Linked DNA regions of Notamacropus eugenii. The protein of the gene in region 2 purifies or fractionates together with the protein of the main gene of each other region. This does not show direct contact. Links are inferred from orthologs where the notes say so. Each region holds a gene or a part of one and is shown on either strand. Other genes may lie near its edges.

Region 1 (3,745 bases), on a different chromosome or scaffold from region 2:
ACCTTGTTTTATAACCAGGGAGATGCAGAAATACAAATCTTATGTCCCAGAAGAAGTCTGAATCAGTTTGTATCATCAAGGTGGACCTGGACTCTCAGGCCAGAGCAGCTAGATATAGAGGTACAGGAGCCTTGGCAAGGCAGTTGGAGACCTAATTAGAGCCGGGTTTCAGACACCTATTAGCTAGGTGACCCTAAGGCGAGTCATTCAGCCTCAGTTTCCACATCTGTAAAATGAGTTGAGAGGCTCAACTGGGATAAAGTATGTAAAATGCTTTGCAAACCTTATGGCCCAGTTTAAAAGTAAGCTGTTATTCCTATCCTTGGTTAAGCAGGGCAGGAGGGCAAAGGAGGCATCGGGAGCTCTGGGGCGCCCCCAAGGCAGGTACCCTAAAGAATCAACCCGAGTTCCCGTTCAGGGAGAGGCTGCCGTGGGAGGGTCTCAGGGTGGAGCAGGCACAGAACCTGGGGGGGAGGTCCCACCCCGGACATTTAAAGATAAGCTGGACGCCCTTTCCCTTCGGCGGCCCGCGCAGTGATTAACAGTGGTAGTGGTCACAAAGTTACTAGGTGCGGGCCCGCCTGGGTGGGTCCTGGGCCTCGGGGGAGGTTGTGCCAGCCGGTGAAAGCCCAGTCCACTTCAGGTGAGGCTGAGGAAACAGGCCCAGGAGTGTAAAGTAAACAGAACCCAGGGACCCGCCCGCCTCCATTCTAAATCTGGAGAGCTGACGCCAATTCAGGGCGACAACCGCCCCCCCGGAAGTCACGAGGACTTTCTGGGCCTCCATCTCTTCATCCGCAAAATGGGCCTGAAGGAAGCACCCACTTCCCCGGGCGGTGGAGGGGATCCTGTGAGATAACAGGCGCGCTGCGCCCACGCGGAGAGCGCTAGGGCCATGCCAGCCATGCTTATTAGGACTGTTATTGGGGTTCCGTTGAAAGCTAGAATAAAAAGTATTACGTAAATAGCGCTCCAGTCAGACGAAAGAACGAGGATCACACAGGCCCCAGACGCTGGATTCGAACCCGGCTCTCTAGGACGGAGGACACGCTCTCCCCACCACGTGATTGCAGGGAGAGTGGCGGGGCTCCCGGGGAGGCGGAAGGGTTGGGGAGCCCCGCCCCACCACGAGCGCTCGCCAGGGGAGACCTGCCCTACGTGCAGATAGACTACCAGGCGGCGAGGGGGGGGTGTGGGGGCGGGGAGCGGGCGGAAGGGGAGGCGGGCCTCGGGGGCTCGTAAAGGCCCCGGCCCCGCCCTCCCCCTAGGCGCGCTCCGGCCCCGCCCCGCTCCTCGCGCCGCGGCCCCCGCCGTTCCCCGCCCCCTCTGCATTGGGGCTGCCCTCGCCGCTGCCTGATCGCCGTCTCCGCGCTCTCCGGGTATCCGAGAAACCGAGGCAGACGCGGCCCTCCCCGAGCAGGAGCGGCGGGTTCTCGGGCCGGGAGGGAGGTCTCCCGGTGGTCGGAACGGTCGCAGGGCGGCCGCGGTTGGGGGCCGGCGCGGCGGGCAGCCGCAGGGGGCCGCGGCGGGGTCCTGGCGGGCGGAACGGTGGTGTCTCCTTCACTTCGCCCTCCAGCAGCGGCAGCTACCCCCGGACGCGAGCGCGGCCATCGGCCCAAGCAGCTAGCGGAACGCCGGCGACCCTAACCCGACTTCCAGGTATGGCCGCCCCGCCCCAAGCCCGCCCGGGCCGGCCCGCAGGCCCGCAGCCTAAGGCGTCCGCGGGCCGCGCCGGCCCGGGCCGTACTCCCCAAGATGGCCGCACCGGTCGGGGGGGCGGGAGCGGCCTGAGGCGCCCCCGCGACCTCGGCCCCGCCCTGCCCCGCCCCGCCCCGAGCTGCCTCCCGGCCTGCTCCGACGCCGCTTCTCTCGTCCTTCCCCGCAGGTCAATCCTCCGCTCGGCATCGCCATGTCGTCGTACCTGCAGGATTGTGAGCGTCCGTGTAAGTGGGGCTGGGCCCGGGCCCCGGGGGTTGGGGGTCTTCTCCCAGAGTCCGGGCGAGGGCATGGCCAGACGCGCTCTGCACCCCTGGAAGCGCTTTGGAGCAGGCGAGTTAGGGGCTCCGGGTCGGCCGTCTTCCCTGACTGTGGCTAATCCTACGGAAGTGCTCTGTGCATCTTCGGACGTTACCGCTCGCTGGGGGCCCCCAAGGGGTGCAGGGGGCGTAGATGAACCCGGAAGCGGTCCCCCGCCGGCCCCCCATGGAGCCTGTGGAAGGGCCGGGGTGGGGGTGCACATGGAGCTGGGGCTGACTAAGGCTCTTTGCTTTGTCACGTACCGTGCTATGCTTCTTAGGGGACCTCGGGAGACTAACAGGGAAGACGGGTGGGGTGGGGTTTTTTCAGTTAAATGTGCATGAAATAGCGAAGAGTTGGGTAGACCAGTAAGACGCGAGAAATTTTTCTGTAGGGAGTGGAAAGTCCCCCCTGTGAGAGCACAAGGTCATTCAAAGTCTGAGGAAGGGCGTGGACCTGCCTCTTGGAATGAATGGATGGATGGGTGGGTGGGTGGGTGCAGGGGCAGGTCTCGAATGCTTAGATTTTCTGCTGTAGTGTTAGCTCTCCTGCCATATTTAGTTATCCGCAGGAACTCGTCAATGTGAAACTGAGCTGGTCTTTTCTGAAAGTAATGAGAATCCCTTGAGTCGTCCTGGTCTGTCTTTTCTACCTTCCATCCATTTCCCTGCTTCCCTCAACCTAGTTTTGACCTAAGCCAGGTAAGGGAGTTGGATCAGCCTCCCATTAAGATTTGCTCTTGTTCATTTTGTTGGAACCGTGCAGTTTTGTGGTCCTTTTACTTACTGTGTAACAATGCACAAATAGCCGTTTGCAGATAGAATAACCTGAAAGTTTTTCTGGCAGAAAAATACAATAAATATTTACTAAATTTAGGAGCTTGCACATCCATAATAACTTCTGGGGAATTTTAAACATTTTTTGGTAGTTACCTTCAACCCTTTTATTCTGAAATAAGGTATGGTTTGAGAACGATGAGCAGCCCCAGCATTCAATCGAATTAGGATTTTAAATCCTAATTTAGGGGGGAAAAGTCGGAAAAACTAAATTTCAGTGGAGTATACTAATGCTTATATTTTCAAGAGCCAGTAGAGAGTTAACCATTATTGTAGGTTTACTGCTCCTGTATATTCTTTGTACAGGAATTGGGTGGAAGAAGGAAAAGAATTAATAGTATGTGTTTTTTTTTCTTTTTTTACCAGCAATGTGTATTCCTCCTTCATATGCTGACCTTGGCAAAGCTGCAAGAGATATTTTCAACAAAGGATTTGGTAAGAACTTAATTTAAGATATAAAGGGATGAATCCCTATATACTAACCCCTTTTTTAAGGGAACAATGTAAATATTTCATGATCTTCAGAATTTGAACAAATTACCCTATTTTCGGATTTCTATTATGAAGTATACATTAATAATAGTCTTCCTGCTACAACTTCCTAAATAAACCATATTGAGCTCTATGCTAAAAATTTTTTTCCTTCTCTTTTAGGTCAGGTCTGATTTTGTAGATCAGACTTTTTAGAGTTGTGAAATCTTATTACTCTTTAACTTTAGGGAAGTTGATAACCTACACTAAAGTAAATTTTTCTTTGAAAATTCGTAACTCCTCTGGTCAATTAGAGACACTCTAAAATTAGGCAAAACTCTGTTTAGAATGCATGTCTGTAGTGTAATAAACTATAACCTACCCCAAGGTTAAAGTTGAGTTAAATGGTTTTCTGTATATGT
Region 2 (3,745 bases):
TAATAGCACATACCTCCTAGGGCTGTTGTGAAGATCAAATGAAATAATAATTTTAGAGCGCTAGCATAGTACCTGACACGTAGTAAGCACCATATAAATGGCAGCTGCTACAATTGTTTTTGTTATTATTGGCACCCACTAGGGTCATCAAAAGTGGGTAGTAATTACCTGGTTTGACACATCCTGTCTCAAGTCTATGCCCCAGGAAAATGACAAACTTCTGTTGTCATTACCAGTTTCATAAACAGCCCCTCAGTGAGTCCCCTCAGTGGAGGGGCACCCACCAGCACTACTCATCTCTTCTTCCTCGGACCCTCACCAAAGGCTCCCTCAACCGACCTCCTTCACAATATCCTTCCTAGAAATGGCTCGCAGCTCCCTGCCCTCCAGGAAGAGTCTCAAGACCGTTCAGGGGTCCTTCTTCTTCCCTTTTTCTCTATGTTACCATTTTTTTCTTCTTCCACCTCCTGACATAGGTCAGAATTCCCTCCTAACTATTTAGATCTTTCTTCTGTGCTTTCACATTGAAGGTCTTCTGAGTGGTCGACTTTTTCCATTTGTTTTAAACACTTTATCCTCCCTGATAGACTCCAGAGAGAAGAAGCATCCTCAGAGTGCCTTCACCTTCTCTTCCAGGAGGAGACCAGCCATCTGGCCTTTGGGGAAATACATCCAGCACACCACCAGATCCTCCCCTGCTCTGGAGCCTTGCTAGAACTGCAGTCTTCAGCGCTGAGCCCTCCTGGTGGCAAGCTCCTGGCGCAGCCTGCGGCTCCCAACGTGGGACCCGCTTTCCCTCTTTTGCGCCCAGATAGCCAGCTGGCCCGTAACTGACCTGGCCTTTATCTTGCCGTAACAACGTGTTTTACTCACTGGTCTATCTTAACTTATCTTACAGACTTCCTCCCTCAGCTCACACTCCATGCTTCTGCACATACACGAGACGGTAAAGCGCAGGAAGGTCCTCAGGCCCACCCAGGAATGCCTTTGAAACTCTTTATGCGCATGGCCAAAGAATACTACAACTCCACTGCTTCGGACTTAAGGTTCGCAGAAGCATTTGACCCCCACTACCCAAGCAAGGTGGACAGCATGAGGGGCCGCTAGGTGGCGTGGTACAGTACTGGGCCTGAGTCATCTTCCTGAGTTTACATCCAGCCTCAAACACTTACTAGCTGTGTGACCCTGGGCAAGTCATTCAACTCGGTTTGCCTCAGTTTCCTTCTCTGTAAAATGAGCTGGAGAAAGAAATGGCAAACCACTCCAATACCTTTGCCTAAAAAATCCCAAATGGTGTCACGAAAGGTTGGACACAACCAAAACGAGTCCGAAACAGCCCAGAGGTTACCTTCCCCTAAGGCAAGGACGCAGTAGACGCTTCCGGCGGCACGTGTAGTCATTCCAGGTGAACTACAACCCCAGCAGCCTTTGGGGCCAACTTCAACCGTCCAATAGAAAAGGATTTTCTTCACCAGCTTAAAAGCAGCGAGGCATACCGGGAGTTGTAGTTCCCTCTCATTAGAAGAATAGGGGCTCAGGACCAGTCTTGAACCACCAATCCCAGAAGGCGCCACTTTCCTATTAGCCAACAGGAGGAAAGGTCCTTCAGGAGGGGGCGGTGAAGGGAAGGCGAGACCCGACGCAGGCGCAGTAAGTAGGGTTGGGGAATTCATGTGGAGGTCAGAGTTGTGTCTGGTGAGCTAAGGGTTTGGGCCTTTGATAACTGTGTTGTCGTGCCCCACTCTCGCGCGTTCCCGTGGGATATTGAGGGGAGGGGGCTCGAGGAAAAGAGGAGGTAGTTGAGGAAGGAGAGGAGAGTAGAGGAGCTGAGAGCCAGAATGAGAGGAAGTGTGAAGAGTCTGAGGGAGGGAAAGAGTAGAGGAGGAGGCTGGGGGCGGGGAGGAATGGAGCGGGCAGACTGAGAGAGGGAAAGAGCAAGAATGGAGGGGGAGGGAAAGAGAAAAAATGGAGGGAGGAGGCTGAGAGAGGGAAAGATTGGAGGGGAGAGGGAGAGAGCAAGAATGGAGGGGGGAAGCTGAGGGAGGGAAAGAATGGAGGGGGAGGCTGAGAGGGAAAGAGCAAGAATGGAGGGGGGAGGCCAAGCTTAGTGTGATAATGGGGAAGATGGGAAAAAGGAAATGGTAGAGACATGGGAGTGGAAGGGGACTCCTAGGAGGCAACTAGAATTTGAAGGTTGGTAACCTAGTGTTAGTGAAAAAGACTTGAATTCTGAATCAGGCATAGCTTGAATCCTTTGGTTCTCAGTTAACTTATCTGTAAATGAGGAATTGAAGTTACTTTTGTCTTCGAGGTGTTTTTAGATGTACCGATTCAGAGTGGATAGAAAGGTTTCAAAGCCAGGACGATCATCTTTAAATTCTTTCTCTGATACATGCTGGCTTGTGTCCCTGGACCAGTCACCTAATTTCCCAGTGCTCTAGGCAAGTTGCAGAGAAGGTGCCAACCTGCATTGCTGGAAGTTTCCTTACACTATACCAGGCATTCTTGAACTTGCCATCCAAGGGTAATTTTACACAGGGTCTGTGAGCTTGAATAAGAAAAAAAATTTACATCTTTATTTTCATTAATCTCAAACTGAAATTTTATCATTTTCTTTTATTATGAATGTAGGCAATGAACATTTTGACCCATGGGCTTTACCAGATTTCCAAAAGGGTCCATTATATTAAAAAGAACCGTTGCTTATTACACTGGAGTTATAGGTCCTGTCTTATCCTTGTGCCCTATAGTTAGAAAATGTGTGCTCTTAACCCATGGAAGGGAGGGAGTTATATAGTATTGAGGGGAGGAAAAAAATGAGATGATCTCTACAGTTAAGTGAGATTTCTGGTTTCTGAGGTCTAGTTAATTTCTTTTGATCTCTGAGAAACTTTCCTAGCTTTCCAAGAATCTATTCCTACTTCTCACTTTTCCCCCCATGCTCCACTGTCATGCTGGCATCCATCCAGAGGACTTTTCTGTCCAGTCTTTCCTTTCTCTAATAACATGACATTCTCCATAGAGGAAAATGGTGTTGATAGCCCTACAGTCAGCATGGCATTGCACATTGATCTTCTCTTTTTAAAATACTGGAATGGTTTTTGATGAATTCCCCATACTCTCACCCCATCCCCACTGTGACCACTAGAATCTGTTTTTGATTTGTCAAGGAGGAAGGAACTTTAACAGTGTGAAGTTAAATGGTGTTGAAGACCAGCCCCATGACTGACCGTAGGTGTACGATGCCCTTCCTAGTGAACTACCTTTCCCAAACCAATCTCAGCCCCTACCCCTGTCATCAAGTGTTTGTAACTGAACATGAAAGCAGAGGAACCATAATTCATGGAATTTTTAAGGCTTTCTAGGGTGTTAACCTGTTTAGCTAAGGATGAGCAGAACCTTCAAGAAGATAGAAATCTTACCCTGATTAGAAGATGAATTCAGTGGTTGGGAATGAGTTTTCACTAGGGAATGTATGGGCCAGGCTAGCCTTTTGTTTTCTCCCTTTAGGTCTGAGAGAGCAGAAGACCAAGACCATCTGAAGGAGACATGGCTGCTAAGCTGTTTGAAGCTGTTGGCAAGTTTGGCCTGGGCTTAGCTGTTGTAGGAGGAGTTGTCAACTCTGCTTTATATAATGGTGAGGGCAGTCTCCCGACTCATACTAAGGGTTCCTGTTGTCCAATGTAACACTCCTGGTAGTAATCACTATCTATGAAAGTGGTTGTTTAATAAGACCACCTTTCCC

What was found.
Region 1: the proteins of PHB1 (region 2) and VDAC2 purify together in Homo sapiens (affinity purification with mass spectrometry; 4 studies listed by BioGRID, with this or other methods). This does not show direct contact. The link is inferred for Notamacropus eugenii from reciprocal best matches to the Homo sapiens genes PHB1 and VDAC2.

What each region holds. Positions count from the first base shown.
Region 1 is NC_092872.1:235,182,441-235,186,185, reverse strand, and holds the start of VDAC2 (non-selective voltage-gated ion channel VDAC2), read left to right. Parts: upstream 1-1,312; 5' UTR 1,313-1,659; intron 1,660-1,885; 5' UTR 1,886-1,909; coding exon 1,910-1,943; intron 1,944-2,577; exon of another isoform or gene 2,578-2,717; intron 2,718-3,218; coding exon 3,219-3,287; intron 3,288-3,745. UniProt on the Homo sapiens protein: Non-selective voltage-gated ion channel that mediates the transport of anions and cations through the mitochondrion outer membrane and plasma membrane.
Region 2 is NC_092873.1:351,427,544-351,431,288, forward strand, and holds the start of PHB1 (prohibitin 1), read left to right. Parts: upstream 1-1,517; 5' UTR 1,518-1,650; exon of another isoform or gene 1,651-1,695; intron 1,696-3,510; 5' UTR 3,511-3,549; coding exon 3,550-3,637; intron 3,638-3,745.